2 linked regions of the Bombyx mori genome follow. The protein of the gene in region 1 binds, or shares a complex with, the protein of each later gene. Links are inferred from orthologs where the notes say so. Each region holds a gene or a part of one and is shown in the gene's direction. Other genes may lie near its edges.

The links.
Region 2: eIF3c (region 1) and eIF3h share a complex: the UniProt entries of both Drosophila melanogaster proteins name them as parts of the eukaryotic translation initiation factor 3 (eIF-3) complex. The link is inferred for Bombyx mori from reciprocal best matches to the Drosophila melanogaster genes eIF3c and eIF3h.

What each region holds. Positions count from the first base shown.
Region 1 is NC_085122.1:5,757,887-5,764,127, forward strand, and holds the start of eIF3c (eukaryotic translation initiation factor 3 subunit C), read left to right. Parts: upstream 1-2,178; 5' UTR 2,179-2,313; exon of another isoform or gene 2,314-2,417; intron 2,418-2,582; 5' UTR 2,583-2,606; coding exon 2,607-2,699; intron 2,700-4,965; coding exon 4,966-5,380; intron 5,381-5,475; coding exon 5,476-5,852; intron 5,853-5,936; coding exon 5,937-6,241. Other genes in the region: gastrula zinc finger protein XlCGF57.1, read left to right, coding at 1-84; soluble NSF attachment protein 29, read right to left, coding at 1,179-1,976. UniProt on the Drosophila melanogaster protein: Component of the eukaryotic translation initiation factor 3 (eIF-3) complex, which is involved in protein synthesis of a specialized repertoire of mRNAs and, together with other initiation factors, stimulates binding of mRNA and methionyl-tRNAi to the 40S ribosome.
Region 2 is NC_085110.1:3,929,780-3,935,964, forward strand, and holds eIF3h (eukaryotic translation initiation factor 3 subunit H), read left to right. Parts: upstream 1-1,947; 5' UTR 1,948-1,963; coding exon 1,964-2,041; intron 2,042-3,044; coding exon 3,045-3,262; intron 3,263-3,370; coding exon 3,371-3,530; intron 3,531-4,203; coding exon 4,204-4,408; intron 4,409-5,013; coding exon 5,014-5,366; 3' UTR 5,367-5,401; downstream 5,402-6,185. UniProt on the Drosophila melanogaster protein: Component of the eukaryotic translation initiation factor 3 (eIF-3) complex, which is involved in protein synthesis of a specialized repertoire of mRNAs and, together with other initiation factors, stimulates binding of mRNA and methionyl-tRNAi to the 40S ribosome.

The sequences.
Region 1 (6,241 bases):
CATAATGTTGATGCCAATGACATGATATTGGAAACTGTTGTTGATAATACTTTCTTCGAACAAGTATTTGATGCAAATATGTAAATTACTATCTAGAATTTAAAAAACTAAAGAAAATAAAGCATTTGTGATTTGAAATATATTTATTAATGGAAACAATATAAAATAAGTATATATAATAATAATGACTGTTTACACTTATCGCTAGGTTCTTGGATATAAATGAAATTATTGTTAATGGCAAACATTAACTCATTGATAACAATATTAGTATGTATGTACCTTACTTTATGATGCAAGAACATAATTCATGATGAGGTGTCTGGAACTTTCACCCATTTAAAATTTGGATTAGTTAATAGAACATAGGTACTTAAAGTAAGTACTCACCTTATATTGGTTGTTTTGCCCTAATATTGTTTTATTTGCACACAAGTCTTATTTATATATATTTAAGTGTACTTAAAACTTTATCTTAAAATAGTGAAACCTAGCTATTATACTGTAACTGTCTCTAATTGCATGAACAACAATTAGAAACAAATAGAAGAAATTTGTCATGATAAGTTGCTAGCCAAAAAGATAACACATTTATTTAAAGATTACAAGATAATTTTTTTTACTATATACTGTGCACAATAAAGTTATGAAGAATGAATGAAGGTTATGATGATCGAATATGATACAGAAAAGGTTTACCTAAATAATATGAATCATACACCATTTTATTAGATGTAACTAAGTGTACATGATCAGCTAACAATGGACAGTATCACACAAGAACCATTATTACATACTATGAAGCTTTATAAAAATGCCAGTCAGCTCAGCAGTGGTGACGAATGTATAGAGCATTAGTATGCAGTAAGAAGCCTTTCAGACAATTTACATTACTAGTAGGTTTATTATATATGGATTTTTCCTTTACTATGAAATCCCCTTTTTACACCATGTTGTTTATCAAATTGCTGCTGGTCATGTGATTCAAATAAAAAATAATCTTATCAAACTTTGCCATACATTAGTATTCCTTATCACACAAAATGATTACACTACTGAATTTTGCAAACCACTCACATTAAAAACATGCTAAATCTTTATAAACAGATACATTTAATAGATTAATAGACCCTTTTAGTTGTTGTTTAAAATAAATCTTTAATTTGCTATAATTATTGCTATTTCCCAAGTAGTTTATTCATTTGTTTATTTTGTTTACCAATCTTGATATCTGCAATCTCAACTTTGTCTTGAATAGTATCCACGAGGTTGTTTTGCTGTTCTATCTCTTCACCAAGTGCAACTCCTAGATGTTTGAGCCGGGATATAGCATGCACCATTTCATCCAAGTTCGAATCAAGTATATTATTTACTCTCTCGTTTTCTGTTTCAGGACTCTTAGCGCTTTCTTGAGACAAACCATGTAGGCGTGCTGAGGGATGACTCTCAAAGCGATCTTCAACGTTCCTAGACATATTATCTAGGGTTTCATCAAGCCTGCTACTACTTGTACCAGCATTACGTACATTCGAGGTCGCTGGACTTTTAGATGGTGTTTGATCACTTTTTCCGGAAATATAATTCTTCAGACCATAAAATACAGACTTTATACCATTTAAATGTTTTTGACTATAGTTTAAATTGGTGTTAATCTCATCAAGTCGCCTGTCTGTGTTCTGTAGCTGTTCACGTTGTCGGGAAAGCTCTTCGGCCGTTGCAATACCAATTTGTTCAGAATCACGAAGCAATCCGATACTTCTCGTTGATGAATCTATTGTCCGTTGTTCGATTTCTCTTTGTGTTTGGATCATAGCTTGGCGTTGACGTTCCAGTTCTGCAATATGACCTCCATAAGGCTTATTTGCTTGCTGTGTTTGAGGTATTCTTGACCGGAAGCGATCTACAAATTCGTTATCATCGACGTCGTCATTTTCGAATAGGTTGTTCGGATTTGTGAAATATTTATGCCCAGACATTGCTTAAAATGTAATTTACTACGTAGGTGTGTTCTCGTTACTTTATTGGTGATGTTCAAAAAGAATGCACTTGAAATTATGGGGGTGGTAAGCACAGATAATACACAATTATTATGGTAGGTATGTACCATAAATGTTTATTTTAGGTTTAATTTATCTGATACGACGAGCAAAGGGATGTAGCCAAATAAAACGATTTTTTTAAGTGTCTGTCTAATTGAACAAAAAAAGTCAATATGCCACGTTCCCTTTGCCTTTCCAATTGAACAATTGAAACAAAGTTTAGCTCTTTGATCAACTTTGATGCGTTTGACGTATGAAGTGAGTCGTGGGCAAGGTCTGTATTTGAGAGCTTTCTTTCTATTCGCTACAAATTTATTAAGTCTATCATCAGAGGATTGCTTGAAAACTGAATACCTACTCTGTTTTTAATATAAGACAGTAAGTATTGTAAAAATGTTAAACAGTTCTAATTTATAACCTCAACGCGAGGACAAGTCAACTATTTATTACTAATTTTGATGTTTATTTAAGATATTTAAGAAAATAAATTACCATTGGAGTCAAATAATGTTCATTTGGAATTAACGAAGTTTTCTTTTACAGAAGCATTAACTAACTCTTGTAAATATGAGTCGTTTCTTTGCAACTGGGACGGACTCGGAGTCAGAGAGCAGCAGCGAGGACGAGCCAGTAGTACGCGCCCCCGCGCCAGTTTACACGGTAAATTTAAAATAAATAATTGGGAATCAAGGAAACAAAATTTTCAATTTATAGTTTAAAAAAAGATAAATAGTTTTTTAAGTTACCAAGGGAGACTAACATTAATCTCATGTAGGATGACAAGATATATGAAACTTTTTTTCGGTAATCAGCAATGCAATTAGCAAAATTTTGTAACTCTTTTAGAAGTTTTGAAAAATGTGATCCTTTAAATTCTTTCCTAAATGTCCACTATCAGTAGCTAATAGAGGGGGTAGCGATCAATAATGTATTTCTGCTCTGCTCGCAATCTGCTATTGTGCCAGCTTACAGCTTTCTAACGACTTGTCCAAAAAATTGAATGGGCAAAGGGAACAGCCATATTTTGTAATGATTGTGAAATTATTTTAATTATAAATTTTATTTCTTGTATTCAGTCATCTTTGTAAAATATGGTATAATATTATTAAAACATTTTTAATTCATAATAAATAAGGTATGACATAGGATTCAACCCATGTTAAATTTAAAATATCTGAAAAAATCCCACAAGTTACATCTTGGCAGGACAAAGGGTTGCTCGTGCTACTCTTTCGTTCCTAAACTCTTAGTAGACTTGTTGGTCAACTGGCATACTGCTTGAAAGATAATTTGGAGTAATATAATAATATACATGGATAAATAATTTAATAGTAACAATAGTAAGCCACTAAAACTTCTATTTATTTCAATTATGAGTTTAATAAGTGCATCTAGTGATTGGCATATCAATTTGTTATTAATTTGTCTTGACTTGTATAACAAGATGCTTTGATTCCGGAATAGTACAGTGATGTGAATTAGATATGTGTTGTTCAATCAATTTTAGAGAATCAGATCAATACTGACCTGTTGACAAAATGATCCGGTTCGTTCGACCCGTTCAGTCAAACGTTTGGATTTCCGTTAATCACACCAATTTATGATGTGATTAATATTATCAGGTCACTGGCTGAATGAAGTTTAGTATTGAATAACAGTTTAAAGGAACTGTTATAGTTCGATTGTTTAGGTGAGATAAAAAAAATTCAAATACGTTATGCGTCATTATGCGACAGCGAACGTCTAACCGAGACGGGCGCGGGGCGAGACCCGGCAACCCGAAATGACCCGAATGACTGTTGCATGGTTCTTTTCTTCTGATTCGTAGGTTTTGTTAAACGGGTCAATCTAGTGAACGACTCATATTTTTTGAAATGTTCGCGCGGATTTTGAAACCCGGGTCGTTTGGTTCGTTCGTTGGCGAACGACACATATCTAATGTTAATTGTAATAAACATTAAACATATGCTTCAAATTTTAAAAAGAAAATGATCAGACTAAAAGTTATAAATTGATTGGGAGATAAGAGTTGCTGTGTTTTTTTGCTAATTTTTTTTTTGTTGTCATCTTTTAATATTGTATATTGTTAACAGATTAAAAATCTTAAAAGTGCGCCATTGTGGGAAAATTCTACAAGATTATAATTACAATTCACAATATTATTATAGTCCCAAGTCATTTCAGTAAATTGCCTCTATTTTGAGGTATGCACTCAGGATAAGTGAACAACAGGAAGGTTGCGTATACTTGTGTAAGAAGAGCCTGCGCTACCACGGCATGCATGTTTTACATGTCTTAGTTTTGGTCTTCAAATGATGATTATTCGAGTATTGAAAATTTCTTCCATTATAATATTGCGTTAATAAAATCAACTGGATAGTTATTTCTTATTAACACTAGCTTACTAACAACAGCTCTTACCGAGCATGGTTGTAACTCTAGTTAATGTTCTATTGTGATACATTAACCTCTCCCCAGTGCGGTGTCCTCTGAGCGGACTCCACAGATACGTGAAATGTCAAATCACATTTATCTATCAACAGGGACCCGTCCGCTCAAAGGACTTCAAACAGACGCGGCCAGTGGCGGCAACAGTGCCGCGTCCGCTCAGCGGACTTCCTATATTAAGGGCTATTACATTATTTTACTAGAGTTCTCGTTCTGAAGTACTTTCAAAATCGACTAAGCATGAATAGGTTCGCCTTATTACATAAAATTTGTTTGGTCTGTGGTACAAAAATTTTTCAAGATCGTTGATTTAGTTGGTGGCAATTTCAAACAAATTAATACATGTCTATTTTACATCTTTAGAATTATAAGCTTAGAATAATAATTTTTTCAAATTTTATTTAATAATTCAGTCAACTGTAGAAGAATATTGAACAAGAAAAGTACAATTAATTATAATTCTTTATATTGGCAACAGTTTAGTGACGATGAGGAAGAAACAAAGCGAGTTGTGCGCTCAATGAAAGAGAAGCGTTATGAGGAATTAGAAGGAATTATACACTCTATACGCAATCATCGGAAAATCAAGGATTTTAGTTCAGCATTAGCTTCTTTCGAAGAGCTCCAAAAGGCATACACTCGAGCCGCACCGGTTGTTCAAAAGGAGGAGAATGGAGTTGCTCCTAGATTCTTCATAAGAGCTCTTGTAGAATTGGACGATTGGGTAGTAGGAGCATGGAATGAACGTGAAGCCCGAAAAGCTCTATCAAAAGGAAACAGTAAAGCTCTTACCTCACTAAGACAGAAACTTAGGAAGTACACTAAAGATTTTGAAGCTGAAATATCCAAGTTCCGTGAAGATCCTGATCTACCCGATGACAATGAACGTAAAGGTAAGCAAATTAAAAATAAACGAAAACTTAAATTACATTCTTCAACACTACTTCATATTCAATGCAAAACAATTAATAACAAACTTTGTTCATAGATTCATCATCATCAGATGAGTCTGAAGATGAAGAAAAACCAATTAAAGAGAAGCCTAAACCCGAGCCCCTTCTTCGTCCACCACCAGAAGATGATGAATCATCAGATTCTATGGATTGGGCTTCTAGTTCTTCTGACTCCAGTTTTAGCTCTGATGATGAGGAACGTGGTACCTCCAATATTCGTGAACAATTCATCAAGAAAGTTACCAAGAAAGAGGATGATGAAGAGAAAATAAAACTTAAACTAAAGAAACGTGAGGAAAGACGTGAAAGGTCTGGTAAAATCAATAAACGCGACGTAGCTGATGATGGTGGTGAATGGGAAACAGTCAGAAAGGGTGCGGCGACTTCTGATAAGCCTAAAATGTTCGCTAAAGTATGTATATTACAATCTCCTTACTTAAATATTCAATTAGTGATACATAAATTAAGCAAATTTTTTTTGTTACCAAATTTTTAGGATAGTGATATTGATGCTGCACTTGTCGTGAAGAAACTTGGTGAAATAAGCGCAGCCAGAGGTCGAAAAAGAACTGATCGTCGTGCTCAGTTAGAACTTTTACATGAGTTGCGTACTGTTGCGCTTCAACATAATTTGGGAGATGCACTACAACTAAAACTACGCTCGGCCATCGTGGCTGCCCTCTTTGACTATAATCCTAAAGTCTCTGATGCAATGAAACCGGAATATTGGTCAAAACTGGTTGAAAATATTGATCACATGGTAACTCTTCTTCTGGCTCACGAAGATATGGTTCTGAGTGA
Region 2 (6,185 bases), on another chromosome or scaffold:
ATATATTTATGTATTGAGATATGTAATTGTATCCTTTTTTTTTTGATTTTATGGCCTGGTAACGATACCTTTAAGCAAAATTGCATTCACGAATAAAATTAGGTATGTGTACTGCTGTGAATACAGATAATACATTTAATAGGTATTAAAACTGTAATTGTTATTATTGTATTTTCTGTCTGTATAATCTTTGTGGGTAACGTTATAGGGCAGATCTTCCGCGGAGCTGCTATAATTGCCCGGTAGCTAGGCTCTAAACGATCTCTTTTTTTTTCCTACCTAAGCTGATGGTCTAGCCTCTAGTGAGACCATATCAGCGTAACCTTAACTAGTAGGTGAGCTCAAGGGGCTCAAACCTAACGACGTTGCTAACATGAATCCTAGCAAGAGCCGTGCTTCGCAGAATCTACCACCGGATCGGAAATGCGACCCACTGAGAAGATTCGGTGAGAAACTCAGTGGGCTGTGTCTGTAGGGTAAAATTTACTCATCGAGCCAAGCAAAACAATAGAAAATTAATTAGTAAAAGATTCGTTTTAAGCTTTGAAATAATCAATTCTGCACAACAGGAACAAATTTTTTCACCACATAGTTCTAAGCTTTGTTTTTTTTATTGCCCTTGTAGGTAGACGAGCACACGGCCCATGTGATGGTGAGTGGTTACTGTCGTCCATGGATAGAGCCAGGGGCAGAGCCAGGCCGCTGCCAACCAGTTTATACTCTCCACAAGCTTCGTTTGAAGAAGGCGTTGTTATAGTTGTCGGGAAACACCGTGGAGGGGAGCTTATTCCAAAGCCGGACGGTACGTGGCAAAAAGATCTCTGGAAACGCCCTGTGGATGACCGCAGTAGTTCCAGGAATTATGGATGAACTCTATTCCGGTGGCGGGCGGTGTGATGGTAAAAACGAGATGATGGTTTCATGTCTAACAATTCCTTAGAGCACTCCCCATGGAACATACGGTGCAAAATAACAGAGTGAACCCAAGTCCCTCCGCAGACACAGAGGTTCCAAACGATCCGTGAGAATGGGATTATCGACAATCCGAACGGCCCTCCTCTGTATGGAGTCAAATGGAAGAAGCTGGTATTTGGGAGCCCCCGAACGGCTCTCTTCTGTATAGAGTCAAATGGAAGTAGCTGGTTTTTGGGAGCCCGGCCCAGAGGTCGGAGTAGTACTCCACACGAGGCCGGACCTGTGCTTTGTAGAGCGAGAGTCTTAAGCAAAAGTCGTAAGTTAACAAAATGTTCCATAAGGTACAACCTAATAAATAAACGATTAATTACAAATTGACGAACGGTAAAATATAAATACAGCGATAACGCGAATTGATACCACTTCCTTATTAAAGCAAATAATGAGACCTCACGTCTATAAGTGTAATTCGAGCCATATCACTTAACTTTATAGTATTTTTTTTAATTCAAAATCTGTAAGAATGTAATACAATTTATACATGGATAATAGAAAAAGATTGAACAACATTTGAGATTTATCATATAAATAAAAAATCTTTTAAACCTTAATTTTTATCATTACTAAAAATGGATTTGTTAAAGAATATTTACAAGATCATAATGCATTAATTGTTTTACATTTATACCGTAAACATTAGGATTAACTATCATTGTGATCCATAGTACAATACGCAAAATTACGGCACTTATTTATTGCATTGTAACTGGGATATAAAAACTACTATATTAATCTCATTAGCGTGTGTATGTCTTCGTATACCTACTCTTTTTAAAACCCAGAAATTTGTAAAAACTGGTATATAGTTCCAACAGTGTTTAAGTTTAATCGAGATGTGATATTCGTGGTAGTATTTTTAAAGGCTAATCTGTCGTATAGTGTCGATTGCAAATAAGGTATCGATTACAATTATCGATAGCTATTGATAGTCGATTTGGAGAGCTACACTAAAATGTAATCAAATCAAACGTTCTCTTGTGAATTAAAAATGGCGAGCCGTGCTGGTTCAGCTAGACGCGCTCCTGAAAATGAAGCGACGATCCAATATGTTCAGTGCGATGGACTGGTAAGTAAATTTAAAATTAAAGTTTAGATAGGTTCTCTGAGACGGACGTCAACTGTAGGTTTTAAATTAAAAACTTTGTGAAAGTTCGTGCCTCGACACGTCATGTATTTTTACCATTTAATTAATATATAGAAGTAAACATCGTCAATTAAGGTGGATTATTATGATCTGGAACATGATTCGTGTTGTATGATTTTAGGAGATCTTAGATTACAATAAAATAGGTTGCCGTTGCAATAATAAAGATAATTGTATAGGTTATGTTTTCAATTTTGTGCTCTCGTTTCTTTTTAAATAAATCGGGCAAACGTTGACAATTCACCAAACCTTGAATAATTCGTTATGTTAATTTCTATAGGATTCTATGAACCAAAAAACTTTCGATATAAAAAGAAAATAAAAGACTACAAAGGTTTTTTATTTCTGTTTACAACATATAAACGTTGTTGAGTCATTGACTGTTTTGGGACATTTGCCCTGAGCCCGGGGGTCATTGAAATAGGAGGATGATCTCACCTAACTGTACATCTAAAACATTAAATTTTCTCTGAACTATATAATTAGTGTTTTAAACTATGCTTCATTACAAAGTTTAGATCTTGATAGTATATGTGAAGTCATTTTTTGTTATATACTATACTACTATTTACTGATAATTTTATAGTTTCCTAACTGTAAATGATTGAGATTAGTTTTTGTTCTGATTGATTGCAAATAGCAAGCTGATTGATTTCCTACACATACACAGAAAGTTAATATAGCAATAATTTATTAGGGATGGGTAGGTATTAATTTGTTTTGTTAAACTTGTTACACATTAAAGTGTATTTTAACTTGCCTTGAATAATATCCTCTCTGAAGTTATTTAGTTGAAACATGCTTAAAGTAGTGGTAAAACAGTTTAATATGTGGTAATCAAACAAATCCTCATCGAACTAACTCAAGCATTTGAAATGACAGATCTGCTCCCACTTTTATAATATATTTGTGCTTTTTATTTTAGGCAGTGATGAAAATAGTGAAACACTGTCATGAAGAATCATGCAGCAACATGGAGGTGGCTCAGGGAGCTCTCCTTGGTTTGGTCGTTGAGAACCGTCTGGAGATTACCAACTGCTTCCCATTTCCAAAGCATGACGACACCATGGATGAGGAGGAATACCAGTTGGACATGATGAGGAGGCTTCGAAGAGTCAATGTTGATCATTTTCATGTTGGATGGTAATTAATATTGAAAATTGTTTTATAGTATGTCAAAATATGTCATACAATATTTTAAATTAGAACAGCAGAACTTTCTTTTTTCTTATACCTCATATCTTTCTTCAGGTACCAGAGTGCAGATGTAGGCAATTTTCTAAGCCTTTCGTTATTAGAGTCACAATATCACTATCAGACCTCTATTGAGGAGAGTGTTGTTGTGATTTACGATACAAAGAAATCAGCCAGAGGATTCTTGACTTTGAAGGCCTATCGTTTGACACCTCAGGTAATTAAGCTCTCATAACTATACACATTTTAAAGTGCTAATGTTGTTAATTGAGCTTTATGACAGAACTAATTTCTGAAGTTGAGCTATTTTATTTATTTATATTACGTATATTTAGTGAAGTTATCACTTGTTAATGCTAAGTGAATGGCAGAATCTATATTTTTGAGATATTTTAAATGTTTTTTATGGGGATACTATCTAAGTGGTCCATGCAACCTGCAGATATCACAACATGAGTGCATTAAGCGGTAGGCAGCGGCTTGGCTCTGCCCTTGGCATTGCTGAAGTCCATGGGCGATGGTAACCACTCACCATCAGGTGGGCCGTATGCTCGTCTGCCTACAAAGGCAATAAAAATAATAAAAAAAAATATATTTGATGTCTCACCATTAAACCAGAATGAATGTATGATTCCCAGCAAATATAAAGAGGATGGTAATGTATGTTCTTATACACATGTCTTAAGATGTAAGACTGTTCTCAATCCTTAAACACATTATTATTACGTGCAGAAATAATAGTAACTTGGACTCACAATATGCTCATCAACAAGCAAGTAAATTATTGTTGTTTTTTTTTTATATTTATATTGTGAAAACATTATGTATAGTTGGGTGTTCATGTATGAATAAGAATATATGTAAAATTGAGGTTAATACTTACTTTACAGGCTATTGCTATGTACAAGGAAGGCGATTACACTCCGGAAGCACTACGTAACCTGAAGATTGGCTATGAAAATCTATTCATTGAAGTGCCAATTGTTATCCGGAACTCTCCATTAACTAACATAATGATCTCTGAGCTCACCGAGATGATACCTGAAGAGGAAGGATCCAAGTTTTTGGATCTGGGTACTGCATCTGTTCTCGAAGGTTTGTTTAATTTTACTATGGTATACAATTATCAGAAAAGCTTTCAAGATTTAGGCTACATCTGACTACATCAATTATGGGTTGATTCCTTTGCTGCAATCTGAAGCTACTACTTTTCCCAGTAGTTGTTTCCTAACTGCTATATTAAACTTGTAATTTTTACTATGTGGAGGAATGGCAATAGACAATTTTAAGCAGGTGAGCTTTCACTATCATCTTGCTTATTAATTCTACTAAGAAAGTGTCCTCTTAAAGGGTACAGATAAACATCCATCCAATGTCATTAAAACTTCGATTCCCTTATGTTAATATGAGGTGGCTCTTAAGAGCCTGAAGATTATGTTTCTTCCTTTACTTAAATGTTCATATCTATATGTTGGTCATCATAAACAATCTACAGAGAGGTTTTTCTTTATTATTTCATGTTATAATATTTAGTAGAAAACATTACATAGCATTTTTCTCTTCATTTTGTGTAAAACTATTGATTTTGTTTAATGAATTTTAATGTTGATCTGATTTTACAATTTAAGGGCATCTAAGGGCCCACTTTATTTAAAAATATTGTATTTATCATCATAACAATAAAATTGATTTAATTACAGGACAACTTCGCAGTCTCATGGAACGTGTTGATGAACTGAATCAAGAAGCGATCAAGTTCAATAGGTACCAACAGCTGGTGGTCAGGCAGCAACAAGACAAGCATCGTTGGATGGTGAAGAGGGCACAGGAAAATGCTGCTAGGGCTGCTAAAGATGAGACCCCGTTGCCAGAAGAAGACGTGAACAAACTCTTTAAACCTCATCCAGTCCCGCCAAGGTTGAATCCTATGATCGTAGCCGGACAAATAGACACATACAGCCAACATATAAGCCAGTTCTGTAGTCAGAGTCTAGCGAAATTGTATTTGACTCAGGCTCTTCAGAACGCGAAAGAAGCGAAACAAAACAACTAGTTTTTTTGTATGGTATTAAAAATGATTTGGTCATATTGTTTTGTTGTTTAATTTCACAATTAATTTATATGTTACTATACTTTAAAACTATAAACTAAAAAAAATCATAACAAATCTTCAATCTTCACATTCTCCTGCCAGACATGTGGTTGTTGTACAGTTGCAACTAGATTAACAAGCTGATGAGTGGTTTAAAATCAAGCATAATTTTTTTTATTTTTTTTATTTTTTATTGCTTAGATGGGTGGACGAGCTCACAGCCCAACTGATGTTAAGTGATTACTGGAGCCCATAGACATCCACAACGTAAATGCGCCACCCACATTGAGATACAAGTTCTAAGGTCTCAAGTATAGTAACGACGGCTGCCCCACCCTTCAAACCGAAACGCATTACTGCTTCACGGCAGAAATAGGCAGGGTGGTGGTACCCACCCGCGCGGACTCACAAGAGGTCCTACCACCAATTTTCCTGGAGCTCATAGTTATAAAATAAATAAACAAATACTTGTACATAATTACTTGTAAATATGTTCCATGGGGAGTGCTCTGAGGAATTGAGATGATACCCTCATCTCCTTTTTACCATTGCACCGCCCGCCATCGTAGTAGAGTTCATCCATATACCTGGAGCCATTACGTTCATCCACAGTGCGTTTCCAGAGATCTTTTTTGCCACGTGCCATCCGGCTTTGGAATGAGCTCCCCTCCACGGTATTTCCCGAGCGGTATGACATCCTTCTTCAAACAAGGCTTGTGGAGAGTACTTAACGGTAGGCAGCGGCTTGGTGCCGGCCCTGGCATTGCTGAAGTCGATGGG